Struthio camelus: one gene and its partner. The protein of the gene in region 2 purifies or fractionates together with the protein of the main gene of each other region. This does not show direct contact. Links are inferred from orthologs where the notes say so. Each region holds a gene or a part of one and is shown on either strand. Other genes may lie near its edges.

Region 1 (7,451 bases), on a different chromosome or scaffold from region 2:
CTGGCGATGGAGCAGGGGGCTTCAGGGAGGGTTCTGGCAGGGGCCAGGCTGCTCCCGAGGCAGCTCTTGATGGATGCCTCAGCTTCTCCGTACTGGCTGGCTGGCTAGCCAAATTTGCCTCTGTGGCTTGCAGCCATCCTGCATCCCTTCCTTTGCTGGGGGAGGGGACACAAGAGTCTCCCAGCAGCGTCCCAGTGGTCGTTTGCCCAAACGGCACCGAGCAGGGATGGGGTGGCCCCAGGCAGGTACATAGCCAGGGAAAGGACAAATCTGGGACTCGCCGGTACACAGGCAGCAACGCAAGCCATCAGGAGGGCCCGAGCGCTGGCCAGAGAGGGGGAGCACCGTAGGGCAGCTGGGGGAGAGGCAAGTGGTCCAGGCTGTATTTTGGCTATGTATTTTTTGCACAGGTTCAGCTGTAAACCTGCAGCAAGGGCCCAGCCACGCGGAGGAGGCTCAGCCTGACCTCTCTCTGGCAGGCTGGGCCCACCTCGTCGTGCCCGGCTCCCGCAGCTCGCTGCACGGCGGCCTGCAAGGCGTTGGCACGTCCCAGCCACTGCCTCTGAGCTTGAACTGGCAGATATTTCCCTTTCCCTCTCCACTTGAGTTTTCTCTCTTCCCCGTCAATCCTCCCTGCTTACACCCAGTTGGGACAGCCTGTGTCCCGGCGGTTCGGGGCAGGAGAGGGTTGTGACGGCAGCAGGCAATGCGTTTCTAGAAATAGCCTGTGTTAGTGCCAGCGTGGCTGGTTGTAGGGTGGCGGGTAAGGAAGGGGGGAGGCGGCGGTGATTCAGCTTTGCCAGTGCAGCTGGAGCTGTGTCCAGTTTCCGATTGTGCATCCTGGTGAAGGAGCTATAGCTCTGCGCGCTACAGCAAGGGGTACCGGCACCGCTCTGGGGGCACAGCCGCCCTCCCAACCGCAGAAGGAAAACTCCCCCTCTGGAGGTGGGGGAAAGCAGACCTCTATCCTAGGCAAACCTGCAGCGTGGCTGAAATGCAAATGTTTCCCAAGGCCGCTGTGGAAGTGGTTTAAGGAAGACGCAGCATGTGGCCAGGAAGGCAAGCTGAAGCTTTCCAAGCGGGAAAGTCACGCTAGGGTAGCCATGGACGGCTGTAATGTAGCGCTGCTCAGCTGTGCCAGACTTCGATGCAGTGGGGGACAACGAGCTTTCCCTTCCAGGGACAGGAGAGCGTCGTGAGTCCAACCAACCCGGACAAACACATTTGAAGGAGCAGGATGGATTTTGGCCACCTAAACCTATGGAAGTCCAAAGGGATCCCACAAAAATGTCGGTGTGCCACGCAAGCAGCAGCGCAGAGCCAGGTGCGTGGTGGCCCACCTGCCTCGACGTTGGCCTCGTTGCCCTCTCTTCCAAAGGGCTGACCTTTCAGTCCCTGTCCCTTGTCACTGAGGTGCTCGGGGGGGGACGGGGGACAGAAAGCTCAGCAGGAAAATTCCAGCTGCTACCGTGCCCTGGAGAGCTGTCCTGGGGCAGGGAGCAGCAGGGGGGTAGCAGCAGAGAGGGGTGGCGAGCAGAGCAGGGGCAGAGAGGTTGGTTTGGGATGAGGGTGCATCAGGGGACCGCCTAGTCCATTGGTCTAGACCAATGCACCTAGAAAGTTCTCCTCATGCCCACGCGTGCTGGGGAGAGCTGATTTCTGTGGGGCCATCTTGGACAGGCTGGCATCTTCTGCAGGTCTCGGCTTTTCTTGGTGGCTGTGCCCTCTCCGGGCTGGGCCGACAGGGATCCAGTGCAAGAGCTTCCCTGTCACAACAGACAGAAAACCTTCTCGAAGGACCAAGCTTGCTACAGGAGGAGCGCTGGTGGCACGTACCGGACTGGGATTTTGGTGGCGGGAGACAGGGCGTTGCAAAACCCAATGCCTTTCCAGGCTGTGGCTGCTGGAGCCACGTCCCCTCCTTTCCAATTGCATAACATCCCAGTGGCGACCACAGCTATTGCTCAACGTGGAAGAGTAACAGCAGGGAAGTTCTGACATGTTTTTGTTGCTATCGTTTAAAAAACAATTTAGTGTCTGGAAAGAGCAGTCAACACCACGTGAGCGGCCACTTCTTCGTGTGCAACTACCAAGTGCCCCATGATGCGATTTGTAAATATTTATTCTGGATAATTTTTCTGTGTCCTACTGAATTATTTTCCGCTCTGCAGAGTGGTTGCAGAAACAGCCTGGGGAGGACCAGGCCTCGCGCCTGGCGTGCGGGCAGACGTGTCCCGCGGGTACCGTAGTGTCCCCAGAGGCCAAGTCGCTCATGCTCGGCTCTGCTGGGGAGCTCGGGAAAGGCAGGAACACGGCGCGGGCACGGGCGGCCCCCGGCGTGCTGGACTAACCCTTAGCTGACCGGTTTCAGCCCCAGAAACGCTCTCCTCGCTCAGCAGCGCTCCTTGCCTGTGTGGGAAATATGAAAGCAGAACAAATCCGAATGGCCCTACTGCGGTCACTGGGGTTTTTTTTTTAACATATAAAAAAGAATTTAAGCCAACAAATCATTCTCTCTTAAATACACGTATTTTGGCAGGTGTGACAACTTTGGGCAGTCTTATGGGACTCCTTGAGGATGTCACGACAACCGGGGTTGAGAGCGCGGGTGGTTGGCCCTGCTCAGCCCTGGTGAAACGTGCGGCTTTGGCTAACTGCTTCTTCCGCGGCTGCGGAGAGTTTTATTACACGTATTTTTTGGCTGATGAATAATTTCCCCAGCAGCAGGCCGAGGTGCCACCGCGAGAGGTGTGGGACGCGGGGCGCCCCCAGCCAGGCAGTCGGGGTACCGGTTACGGGGTGTTCCCAAACGCGTGGTGCATCAAGGTGTGCAGCTGCATGGGGTGTCAAGAACAGGGGTACAGGTGGGGGGACGTGGTGTGTGTGAGGAGGGGTTGTGCAGTGATGCCCCCTGGGAGGGGCCACACTGCCTGTGCCAGGGCAGCTGTGTGTGCGGGTGTGAGGAGGGCTGTGTGTGTGAGCACAGGCAGCGCACGTGGAGAAGGGCTGTGTGTGTGGGAGGGCTGTGTGTGAGGAGGGCTGTGAGGAGAGGTGTGTTTGAGTACAGGAGGGGTGTGTGTGTGTCAGGAGAGCTGGCTGCTGTACAGGCAGTTGTGTGAGGGTACAGGTGGGCTGTGTGTACAGAGGGCTGTGAGGACAGGTGGAGTGTGAGGGCACAGGCAGGGTGTGTGCACAGAGGGCTGTGAGGACAGATGGAGTGTGAGGGTACAGGCAGGCTGTGTGCACAGAGGGCTGTGAGGACAGGCAGGGTGCGAGGGTACAGGCAGTGTGTGTGCACAGAGGGCTGTGAGGACAGGCGGAGTGTGAGGGTACAGGCAGGCTGTGTGCACAGAGGGCTGTGAGGACAGGCGGAGTGTGAGGGTACAGGCTGGGTGTGTGCACAGAGGGCTGTGAGGACAGGCGGAGTGTGAGGGTACAGGCAGGCTGTGTGCACAGAGGGCTGTGAGGACAGGCGGAGCGTGAGGGTACAGGCAGTGTGTGTGTGCAGAGGGCTGTGAGGACAGGCGGAGTGTGAGGGTACAGGCAGGGTGTGTGCGGAGTGCTGAGGACAGGCGGAGTGTGAGGGTACAGGCCGGATGTGTGCGCAGAGGGCTGTGAGGACAGGCGGAGTGTGAGGGCACAGGCAGGGTGTGTGCACAGAGGGCTGTGAGGACAGGCGGAGTGCGAGGGTACAGGCAGGGTGTGTGCGGAGTGCTGAGGACAGGCGGAGTGTGAGGGTACAGGCCGGATGTGTGCGCAGGGGGCTGTGAGGACAGGCGGAGTGTGAGGGTACAGGCAGGGTGTGTGCAGAGGGCTGTGAGGACAGGCGGAGTGTGAGGGCACAGGCAGGGTGTGTGCACAGAGGGCTGTGAGGACAGGCGGAGTGCGAGGGTACAGGCAGGGTGTGTGCGGAGTGCTGAGGACAGGCGGAGTGTGAGGGTACAGGCAGGGTGTGTGCACAGAGGGCTGTGAGGACAGGCAGAGCGTGAGGGTACAGGCAGGGTGTGTGCACAGAGGGCTGTGAGGACAGGCGGAGTGTGAGGGTACAGGCAGGGTGTGTGCACAGAGGGCTGTGAGGACAGGCGGAGTGTGAGGGTACAGGCCGGGTGTGTGCGCAGGGGGCTGTGAGGACAGGCGGCGTGCCTGAGTACAGGAAGCAGAGGGCTGTGAGGCCAGGCGGTGCGTGGGCACAGGCGGTGCGCGGGGGCCGGTGCCAGGGGCTGCGGGCAGGCCCCGCCGCAGGCCCCGCCGCCCGGAGGAGGCCGGCCCGGGCTCTGGTGGTGCCGCCGCCGCCGGCGGGCGGGCGGGCGCGGCGCTCGCCGCCGTCACATGGTGCGGGCTGGGCGGCGGGGCCCGCTCCTTCCCCCCCCGCCCGCCGCCGCCGCCGCCGCCGCCCCGGCCCTCGCCGTGCCCGCGCCGCCGCCGCCCCGCCCTCCGCCGCCCGCCCGCTCGCCCTCCCCTCGGCGGCCGGGCGGCAGCCGGCGCGGCCCCTTTAATTCCCTCGCTCCCCCTCCCCCGCCCGGCCGCTCCAGCCTCCATTTTCCAGCGGATCCGGCACCTGGAGGCGGCGGCGGCGGCGACGGGAGCGGCCCGCGTCCCGCACCCGGCCCCGTCCCGGGCATGGCCGCCAACATGTACCGGGTCGGAGGTAAGCGCCCCGCCGGGCCCCGGCCCCGCGCGGCCGCGCCTCCCCGCGTGCCAGCGGCGCGTCAGGGGCCGCGGCGGCGGGGCAGGCCCGGCCCGGCGGGCGTGGGGCGCGCTGGGGGCGCGGGGCGCCGTGGGGCGGGTGCGGGGGGTGGGCTGTGGGGCCCGCTGGGGTGGGCAGGAGTGCGGGGTGCGTGTGGGGTGGAGGGCAACGTGGGGTATGGGGTGGTCTTGGGGCGGGGTGTGGGGTGGGTTGGGGTGGGGGGGAGCCTGGAGATAGGGTAGGTGGTGGTCTTGGGGTGGGGGGAGCGTGGGGACGGGGTGTGGGGTGGGGGGGAGCCTGGAGATAGGGTAGGTGGTGGTCTTGGGGTGGGGGGAGCGTGGGGACGGGGTGTGGGGTGGGGGGGAGCCTGGAGATAGGGTAGGTGGTGGTCTTGGGGTGGGGGGAGCGTGGGGACGGGGTGTGGGGTGGGGGGGAGCCTGGAGATAGGGTAGGTGGTGGTCTTGGGGTGGGGTGGGGGGCAGCTTTGGAAGGAGTTGCATGGGGAGGGAGGCTGTTGAGGCACGAGGCAGGGACCTTCTCGGTGGGGTGGGGGCGCGAGGTAGGTTTGGGGTGTGGGTTTTGGGGCTGGAGCAGGCTGGGGAGAGGTTAGGTGGGTGGGAAGGCTGGTGCCTGTGGGGTGTGGGTGGCTCTGGGGTGGGGAGAGGCTGAGGAGGAGGCAGGTGGGCGCAGGGCTGCTGGAAGAGGATGTGTGGGGCGAGGGTGGATTTGGGTTGGAGGCTGGGGGTTTGGGAAGGGGACAGGACTGGGGTGCTGGGAGGGGGGGATCGGGTCCGCGGGGTGTGGGTGTGTGGGACGCACACAAGGAGCGCTGTAAGGAAGAGGGCTATGGAGGGTGAGGGGGTTTTAGGTGGGAGTAAGTGGGGCAAAGGGCTGTTGTGGGGGCGGTTTGGGGAGGCTTTGTGTGGGCAATGGGGCTTGGAGTTCCTGTGTGAGGTGGGGGCGGATACGACATGGTGTGTTTGGCATTGTGCAAGGTACAGGGTGTGGGGCAGAGGTGAGGAGCCATCTTGGGAGGGTTGGGGATGGAGAAGAGCCCTGCCGAGCTTTATGAGGCTGAGGAAAGTAGGGGCCTGCTCTGTGTATGAGCTGTGCGGGGGGGAGTCGGGGGGCTTGGAGAGAGAGGAGTAGAGGGCAGATCTGGGATGAGGGCATGGGCAGGAGGGGTGGATTTCTGGAGCAACCTATGAGAGCAAGACCAGAGACCATGGGGAAACAGAGTTAGGGTTGGGGTGGAACGAAGGGTCGGATGACTGTTTAGACAAGGGTTATGTGAGGTTGTAAGGGTGGGGACGTACAGGGAGTTGCTGGGATAAGAGCAAGCCTAACGATAGGCTGAGACTACTGGTAGACTAGGGCAGTTGCATGAAGCAAGTCCTGCTGATCTTGGCCTTCCCTTCCATTCATGCTGTTTTATTGTATGCTTTCCCATTAGTCTTCTGTTCAGAGCCTTGCGCTCCTGTCTGATTGTCCTTTGTTTAAACTCACGTGAAGAGAAAGGAGAGGCAACAGGGTTTGGGATTGAATTTTATGGAATATAAACACTGAGGGTGGTCTGGCATGAATTTGTGTTCAGCCATTTTCCTTCATAAAAGCTGTTCTGTGGAACTTCCTTGTTCCTTGAACCATAGGATCTAAGGGAAGATATTTTGGTGGGGGGGGGTCCCTCCTTTCAAAGTACTCCATTCTTTTGGAGTTCTGTAAAAGCAGGGTAAAGTAAACAAGGGGAAAATATAGTGAAGGTGGCCAAGCCATCCTGTCTGGCTACTCTCCATCAACAACTACTTTCAATTCTTTCCACTTTTCTGGCCTACCCTTACTTTGTACTCTGAAAAATGTCACGTTTGTTGTCACATTTATACTTTTTTGCTGGTTGCACTTGGTGTCGTGAAGGGATAAGATGTGCATCTTAGCTGTCCCAGCTTTGTTTCTTGGGTTGCTACAAGTTGGTTGTGTGTGTGTGTATAGCATTATGTGGGGTTAGAAATGCTGAGAAGTAGAAAGATGAAGGGCAAAATGTGCTGTAGGAGTTTACAGTTCAGTTCCTGGTGTGACTTGCAAAGGGAATTGTTTCCTGGGAATTGTTGTTTGGTATTTAAGGTTACAGGCATTAGTCTTGCACTGAATGTGATCTCTAGTATTTTGTGTGTCAAAACCTGGACTGTGCTCCCCATAAAATCATGTAGGTGGGAAGAGACCTCTAGAAATCTCTAGTCCAACCACCTACTAAAAGCCATCCAGTTAGAGCAGGATGCTTGGGGCTGTGTTCAGTTGAGTTCTGAACGAAGGATGGTGATGCCTCTTCTTCTCTGGGCCCTCTTCCAGTGTTTGACCACCTTCCTGGCAACTTGTTTTCCTTATGTCTGGTTGGAATTTCTCATGTTCTGACATGTGTTCATTGCCCCTTGTCCCCGGGAACCTCTGAGAAGAGCCTGCCCCTGTCTGCTGGTTGTAGACAGCAATAGCATCTGCCCCGAGCCTTTTCTCCCCCAGGCTGAACAAACCTGTCTCTATTGGCCTGTCTTTGTACATCCTGTGCTTCAGCCCCAACCACCTTGGTAGCTCCACTGGACTTGCTCCAGTATGTCACTGTCCTTGTCTTGGGGAGCCCAAACTGGATGAGCGCTCTAGATGGTCTCAAGCGCTGAGCAGGAGGGATAGGATCTCTCCCCTCGCCCTGCTGCTTGTGCTCTTGTTAACCCAGCCCAAAATGCCACCAGCTTTGCTGCAATGGTACAGTGCTGTC
Region 2 (7,287 bases):
GAAGTTATGGTCCAGCTAAAAGGCAGTGAAAGGCAATTTTTCAATTTATGGTTTGTAACCACAGGGCTGCCCTTCAAAGTCTGGAGAAAAATATTCTTTCTGGAAGAAAAGAAAAAAAAAAAAGTGTTGCTCTCTGAGTTCACGGCAGCCTCCTTTCATTCTGAAAGGGGACTGAAATCATACTCAATTATCTCCTGAAGATATATTAGGACAGTAGCTTTTGTGAGGATAAGCTACTTTTCACGCACTTTGGGAGAAGAAGGTGGCAGGTAACCTTGCTAAAGCCCATCACATTAGCTATTACTTTTTCTGGTTGTCTGTTAAGCCGATAACATACCACAAATGTTCCACTCTGCTGGAAGTACGGGAGCTCCATTAAGCGGTATCTGTGGCCACCCTACCACAGAACGCAAGCAACAACGGAAATTGTTTTAGAAGGACGTCACACGAAATTTTTCTGAGATTGCACTAGTGGCTTAAAAAGAACCGTGCACAATGAAAGTGCAGTTTCTTTCAAAGACAAAGTCCACTCTCTCATCAAGAAAAGCGCTGGGACTAGACACACAAAGGCTGCTGTATAAAGATTCTCAGGGAAGGAAGAAGAAAGAAAATAGCAGTTATGTACTAAATTTAACAGCCCCTTCTCAGTATGTTATAATCAGAGTGGATCTCATTACAAACTTCTAAAGACTTCATAATAATTAGCAAAGTTAAGGTATAAAAAAGCACAATTAAGGTGGAAAAACAACCATGCATAAGAATTTCCTTTAAAGAAATTCTTATAATTTAATTTATTACATACTAACGCTAATTTCTAACTCTAACATACCTATTGTTTTTTGGATGGCCTCATGGATATAGGCAATTGAATGCCACCTAGAAAAGAAAACCTGTATTTACTCTGATGTCACTACACAGCCCTGAGTAAATCATTAAAGAGGTAGTCAGCTGTAAAAAGTTTCATTTGTACATTCTTTAGTTCGTAAGTGTACAATCTAAGGTACCACAAGTTGGATCTGGAAACCTGCCACTGACAGCTGCAGCTGAAATCACAGCAAGCACAAAATGCTCTGAAAAACATTGATTTAAAAAAAAAAAAAATAGTAGTCATTCAGTGCCCCAAAACTCAAAACCTAAAAATAATTTCACTTTAATATAGAGAGGAAATCAAGACCAGAAGGCAATGGGGATAACAGCTGTGTAGGCATGTTCAGTAACACTTATGAAGCACTCAACATAGTGTCTTGATAAACGTCACAAAAAATACTCAAAAACATCAGTAGTTTTGTTTGGTTGTCAGAGTTTGTATTACACATAATAAATATGGTACAAAGCCTACATGGTGAACAATGAAATATAGGTTTCATTCAGTAACTACTGTGTGCTTTTCTGCGGTGAATGAGACAGAGGTCTAGCACCAAAAAAAATTTGTCAATAGAATGAAAGGCTGTACAGAATTTATTTTTTTAATATTATACTTATGGCAACAAAACCGTTTATCACCTGTTACATAGAACCATCGTTCCTCTGCATAAGAAGTGAATGCTGTCCCAATCTACAGATAATTTTTGCATCAAAAACGGACATGCAGAACGTTTAAGTTATACTATAAAAAGCACACAAGTCTAGTCAAACAAACACAATAAAAAGAAAATAATCAAAAGCTACACTGGAATCTAGTCTGCAAAATTTTAAACTTTCAGATTTATTCTGAGTAGAAATGAGATATTCTGCTAATTATGCTTGGGTTTAACTAATATTGGCTTACTCTTCTTCCTATAAAAGAGGTAAGCTTCACCACCAGAGCAAAAATACGCTGGGGGAGCTGCACAGTACCTCCAAATACCAGTAGACTTACCAGCTACTTACAGAAGCACAACTCCTGTGTTCATACAAAGTCTGAGCTAAGACAAATGGAATTTAGAGACTGAATTCCAGAAAACACACTTTTTTTTTTTTTAGAACAGCAAAGACACACAAGGCAACCTCATTAAAAAGTAACATATACAAGATACATAAGAAGTTCTACATATGCGAATGAATCCTAAAATGAATGTTTTATCCCAGGTGCAAGCATTTACTCTCCTCCTTAAAAGCTAACTAAAAAGCCTTTTTCACCTCAGCTCCCAAGGGCCTAGTTATTTTTTTTTTAAATCAGTTCTGCATTTCACATATTAACTTTCATATCATAGACATAATTTATTACACATCAACACTGGATTTGTCCAACATTTAGAAGGAAATTGTCTGACTGTTGCTGACTCCTTTCTCCACTCTATTCCTGCACAGTATCCTTAACAGTTTCAGAAGTGGGTCAAGATAAAAATAAAAAAGACATCTGCAGGGAAGTATCTTCTCTGAGAATCTAAAAGCATTTGCATTTTTAAAATAACCTGATTTTACATCTCAGCCAACTGATGTTAAAATGTTTCAGGAAAGTATTTAAGTTATCTATTAATTTACAAAGCCCTACCACACACTCGACACCAGCCTAATAGACTCACACGGCAACACACAACAGTTTTGTCCCAAAGGTAGGGAAAAGATGTCTAAAAGAGAACAGCCACAACCCAAGAAACTAATAAGCTGCTTGCATATAGAAATAAACTGTACGGTAACTTTCAAATGCAAAGGGAAAGAGAAATTCAGAAACTAGTCTGAGATTGTGAAATCTTGCGTTTTTCTTCAGGTCATCCGTCACTACCGAGCTGACTCAGCAACAGAGGGAGCAGCGGTGCAAAGGGCGCCTAAGCAGTTTTTAGCTACCATTTGGTTTAAGCCTGCTTAAAACATCAGTGGCTGCCTGAAGCCCTCTTTGCAACAGTGCTCCTACATGCTTCACCACGTGGACGTCTGAACAGGGGGAAAAAAAAAAAAAAAGTAAATAACTCTCACACACGACCAAGAGACACACGAATTTGCTCTAAGCAAAGGGGTCTCAGGAGCTTTTTTATTCAAGGGAACGGAACTGAGTAAAAGGGAATTTACGGGAGGCTGCGAGGCGTGCAACAGATGCAGAGATGAAGGAAAGCTGGACGAAAAAAAAAGAAAACCAAACAAACGAAGAGCGAGCAGCAAAGCGGGAGCGAGCAAAGCCGAAGCTCCTGTCGAGACGCGGAGGGGGGCGCGGGCAGGGTGCCAGGCAGCCAACAGGCCTCCGGGCAAAGAGGCACCGGGGCACAGCCCGGCAGGGAAGAGGGGAGAGGGCAGAGCTGCGCAGCGGCGGCGCGGAGGCGAACGGCGGGGATGTACGGGGCGGAGCTCCGCGGAGGTAAGCCGGAGCGCCGCGCTGTCGCCTCGCGTCCCTGCGCGGCTCGGCGCCCACCGGGCCCCTCACCCTGCTCCGGTACCTCGAACATTAGCCCCAGCAGGAGGCCCACCGCCAGGCAGGACACGGCGTCTGCATGGTTCTGGATGACGAACTCGTGGCTCAGCATTGCCGGGCTCCTGGCTTTCCGGCGGAGCCCCATGGCGGTGGACGGCGCCCAGGGCCCCGGCGGCCCCGCCGAGGGGAGCAGCACCTCCCCACCCCCGCCCCGCGGCAGCCACTTTCACCTCCCGCCCAGTAAACGCCGCTGCTCCCAGGGCCCGCCTCCCACCCTTGGCCAGCCAATCAAGCTGAAGACGACCTCTAACTAGCAGCCCTAGCAGCCAGTCGCGAGGCGGCCGGGAGGAGCGGTTTCCAGGGGGGCGGTACTTCAGCGGCAGTCGGGCACTCACGACTGGAGTCGGGGGTCCGACATGAGTGACGCGGGATTCATCCAGTCCCATGTGCGGATGGGTGGGGCTTGCTCAGGAGGCCCCCCCCACAGATAGTGGTCGGTGGGCGGGGCTTGGCTCAGCTGGCGTTCGGGGCGCGCCTTCGCCGTCTCTGCAGGTGGCGGCGGCTGTGGGGAGCGGGCAAGTCCGGTTTGGCCCGGCTCGAGCCGGTCTCCGTGGGGCGGGGCTGGGCTCGCCACAGCCCCGGGGACGACAGGGCGGCTTTGCCGCCGCAGGGCCCGCGGGGAGCGAGACAGGTCGGGCGGCCAGCTCCCCTCACAGGCCCGAGGAGCGCCGCCTGCGCAGGTGGCGGGCGCCGCCCTCAGAGCCGGCTAGCGGCTCCTCGCCCCGCTCTCCGCCTCCGAGCGGGCAGTGGTCGCTCACCACCGCTAGGCAAAAACGGAAAAGCTGTTGGGAAATCCCCACCTTACCCTCCTTTTTTATAATTTCCATTGAAATGGAGGGGGAGGGGCTAAAAGGTGCTTTGAGGCCCTAGAGATGTGAGGATTTGGCCACCTGCAGGCTCTAGCTGGAATTCAAGGGGGAAAGCAGACCGGTTGACCAAAACTGTGACCGAGGCAGGGGAAGGCCGGAGGGGGTGATGGCATCACAGAGGAGAAGGTTGAAAGGGGAAAAAAGAACTTCGCTTCCATCTTGCACGCAGATGCCTCCCCTGCTGTGGGGAGCATAGCGTCTGCTGATTCCAGTGAAGGGATGATTCATCTGGAGCCAGCTGCTAAATAGGACCAAAAAATCAGTTCCGTTTTGAAGGTAGTTTTGCTACCTGTTGATTTTTAAATGTTTTAGGCTCACTGAAGCGGTTTCTATGTGCCACAGAATTTCCTTTCTGTTATGCTTTCTCCTAGTTAGTCAGTTTGACAATACTCATGCTCCTGTTTCTACCCTCATTTTGAGTTTCAAGGTAACGTATTCAGAAGCTGCATTTTATGTGTGAATTTAAGCATTGCTACAGAGCGCTTGTACAATACGGACGTTTGGTGAGGCAACGGCCATGCATATGCTTTACCTCAGCCAAAAAGAGGGATTCTTAAATAAAAATACTTGCAGTAAATCATTTACAAACCATTATTGGTTTCTTGATGAAAAGGAAATGATAAAATAGCAAGACTTAATTGTTTATTATAATTACTATTTTTCTTTTTTCTTAAGCTAAAAAGAGTATCCCCAATTGAAATTGTAACTATGATTCAAAATTTTTTTCCCTTCTTCTGGAAACATATTAGAGATAGGGGCAAATAATGCCAAATAGAAATGGGAATTTGCAGTACCAAGAAACACAAGCCTGGAATGTGGTTTTGCAACCCAGAATATACCCCTTTAATATAATTTGCACCGTTTTTGTCCCATATCGGTGAGCAAGCTAGTCTGTATTTTTATGAACTGGGAACATGACTTTCTAGAAGAAAAAAGCTATAGGGCTCTATATTTTTATGGATTTTTTTATTCATTTTATTTGGATTTTTATATTTTTACGTTCTATGTTTATAGCTTTGTAGATAGTCTCAGCATAAACTTCAGCTCTCATATATTTGCTCAAGTTCCAAACAAGCAATGTTGTTTGACTTTTTATTTTGAAACAAAACTAAAGAAATTTAGGAGCAGATAACTTTTATTACCGATTCCCCACTTGCATCGATGCATGTTTTCTTACAAGAAACTCAATTTTAATACATGACCTAAGTAAGATTTGTAATTAATCTAGTAATATTTTTTCAGAAAAATGAATCTTGAGGCATATTTGCTAGGTATAAAACTGATTTAGACAATGAGATACAATGAGGCAGTCAGATATGATAATTTACAGTAATATTAAACGAGTATTTGAGTTCAAGTACCTGCTCCTAGAGATATCTACTGACTTCTGCCTTTGTACATTTACTAACTTAAGTTTCTAATATAGATATACTCTGTGCACAAGAGGAGCTAACAGTTGTCTAAACTGATTATTTGAATTGACAAAAGTCTTGAACCTACTTTGGAGTTAAAAACATTGTGTCTGGGAGGCAAGAGGAAAAAAAAAGGCGCTCAAGTGAAGTCTCAGACCACCTTTTCACCTGTTAGAACCCTGTGGAACCCTCTGTTCAAGTTCTGTTTTTCTCCTCTGGCAGTTGAGGGCAACATCATGTTAAGGTAATGAAGTGAAATGACCCTTTCGTTCCAATGTGTGTATGATGCGCGTCTTGAAGAAGACTTGAGATTGCTGAGCTCTGTCTTTGGCAAGTAAGTAAACTCTATTGTTTAACGCACTATATAAATACATATAAAGAGGTCAGTGAAATGCCATACTTCTGTTGCTTACATTTACTTACTTTTCTCAGGTGTCTTTTCAGAAGTTATATTTACGATTTGAAAACTGACAAAACTGGGTGGGCCTGCCAAAAGACAACCCACTTACTTGTTGGTTATCTACTTTCCTGCCTGGTTCATAATTCTGTATCTATATTATTTAAGCTCTAAGTTCCAGGTTTAAAGTCTCAAGTATTTTACCTCTTTGATTCCACAACTTCTGCGTTATACATGGGCATCTTCTCATCAGTATTTCTAAATTATGTCACTGTCATGGCAACAGCCTTTCCCCCTCATCCCTTTTTCTGGTAGAGCAGAGTAGGTTCTTCTAGAATACATTAATGAGTACTGGTAGTTCATTAATTAATTTGAAGGTTGCTTCAGTTTTTTTTGGCTCCTAGTGGGTCATTTCCATTGTCCTCTCCTTTAAACAAATTAACTTAGCCAAGAAAGCTGTTGTTTCCTTTTTTACTTGTTTTCATAGATATTTTCTCTGTTAAATAAATGAAACAAAAAAGCTTAACCTGCAGTTTAAACTTTTCTGTAGTTGTATCATTACACTTATTAATGCTATTTGCAGAGCTGTAGAAATCAACCAGAGACCTGCTTGACCATGCTGAAGTAGCTAAGAATGACCAACCTGACTCCTTTATTTTATGCTTCAGTTAAATAAGATGAGTTAATTCAGAATTGGAGTAAATTCAGGGAAGAAGAAAGCACTAGTCATTTTCGTGGGGTAAGTAAACCCAATTTAAAAATCACTAGGCAAATACATTCAAACTGGTTGCATGATTTCCTTTTGTGTGTGTGTGTGGGGGGGGGGGTGTTAAAGGGCCAGCCAACATGGAGGGGGGGTATTTTGTTGTTGGCTTTTTTTGTATTAGGCACCGTATAAACACTGAGTAGCGTAGAGACCGCATCTAGCAGAATTTAGGATCTAAATAGACAAGCTAGATTCACTATGGGGAAGAACCATGCCTCGTAAGCAGTAAATAGTCCACTGGCACCAAAACACGTTAATTTTGTTCTTCTGGGACTTTCTGGGGAGGAGAGAGATTACATAGGAAAAGACAAGCTGGGGAAAACAGAAGAGGGCCACAGACACACATGGTAAAGCATTAGGAAAGAAGGACTGGAGCAAACCACCAAGGGAAAAACAGTCTTAGGCAAGCCTGTCTGCAAATGTTGGACTGTCATATCCCTGCTTTTACTGCTGCTCCT

Evidence for each region.
Region 1: the proteins of ZMYND8 (region 2) and MTA1 purify together in Homo sapiens (affinity purification with mass spectrometry; 3 studies listed by BioGRID and IntAct, with this or other methods). This does not show direct contact. The link is inferred for Struthio camelus from reciprocal best matches to the Homo sapiens genes ZMYND8 and MTA1.

The regions. Positions count from the first base shown.
Region 1 is NC_090949.1:9,500,997-9,508,447, forward strand, and holds the start of MTA1 (metastasis-associated protein MTA1), read left to right. Parts: upstream 1-4,440; 5' UTR 4,441-4,620; coding exon 4,621-4,648; intron 4,649-7,451. UniProt on the Homo sapiens protein: Transcriptional coregulator which can act as both a transcriptional corepressor and coactivator. Acts as a component of the histone deacetylase NuRD complex which participates in the remodeling of chromatin.
Region 2 is NC_090959.1:8,662,507-8,669,793, reverse strand, and holds the start of ZMYND8 (MYND-type zinc finger-containing chromatin reader ZMYND8), read left to right. Parts: upstream 1-4,279; 5' UTR 4,280-4,530; intron 4,531-4,634; exon of another isoform or gene 4,635-4,681; intron 4,682-5,888; 5' UTR 5,889-6,000; intron 6,001-6,646; 5' UTR 6,647-6,802; intron 6,803-7,287. Other genes in the region: translocating chain-associated membrane protein 1-like 1, read right to left, coding at 3,351-3,470. UniProt on the Homo sapiens protein: Chromatin reader that recognizes dual histone modifications such as histone H3.1 dimethylated at 'Lys-36' and histone H4 acetylated at 'Lys-16' (H3.1K36me2-H4K16ac) and histone H3 methylated at 'Lys-4' and histone H4 acetylated at 'Lys-14' (H3K4me1-H3K14ac).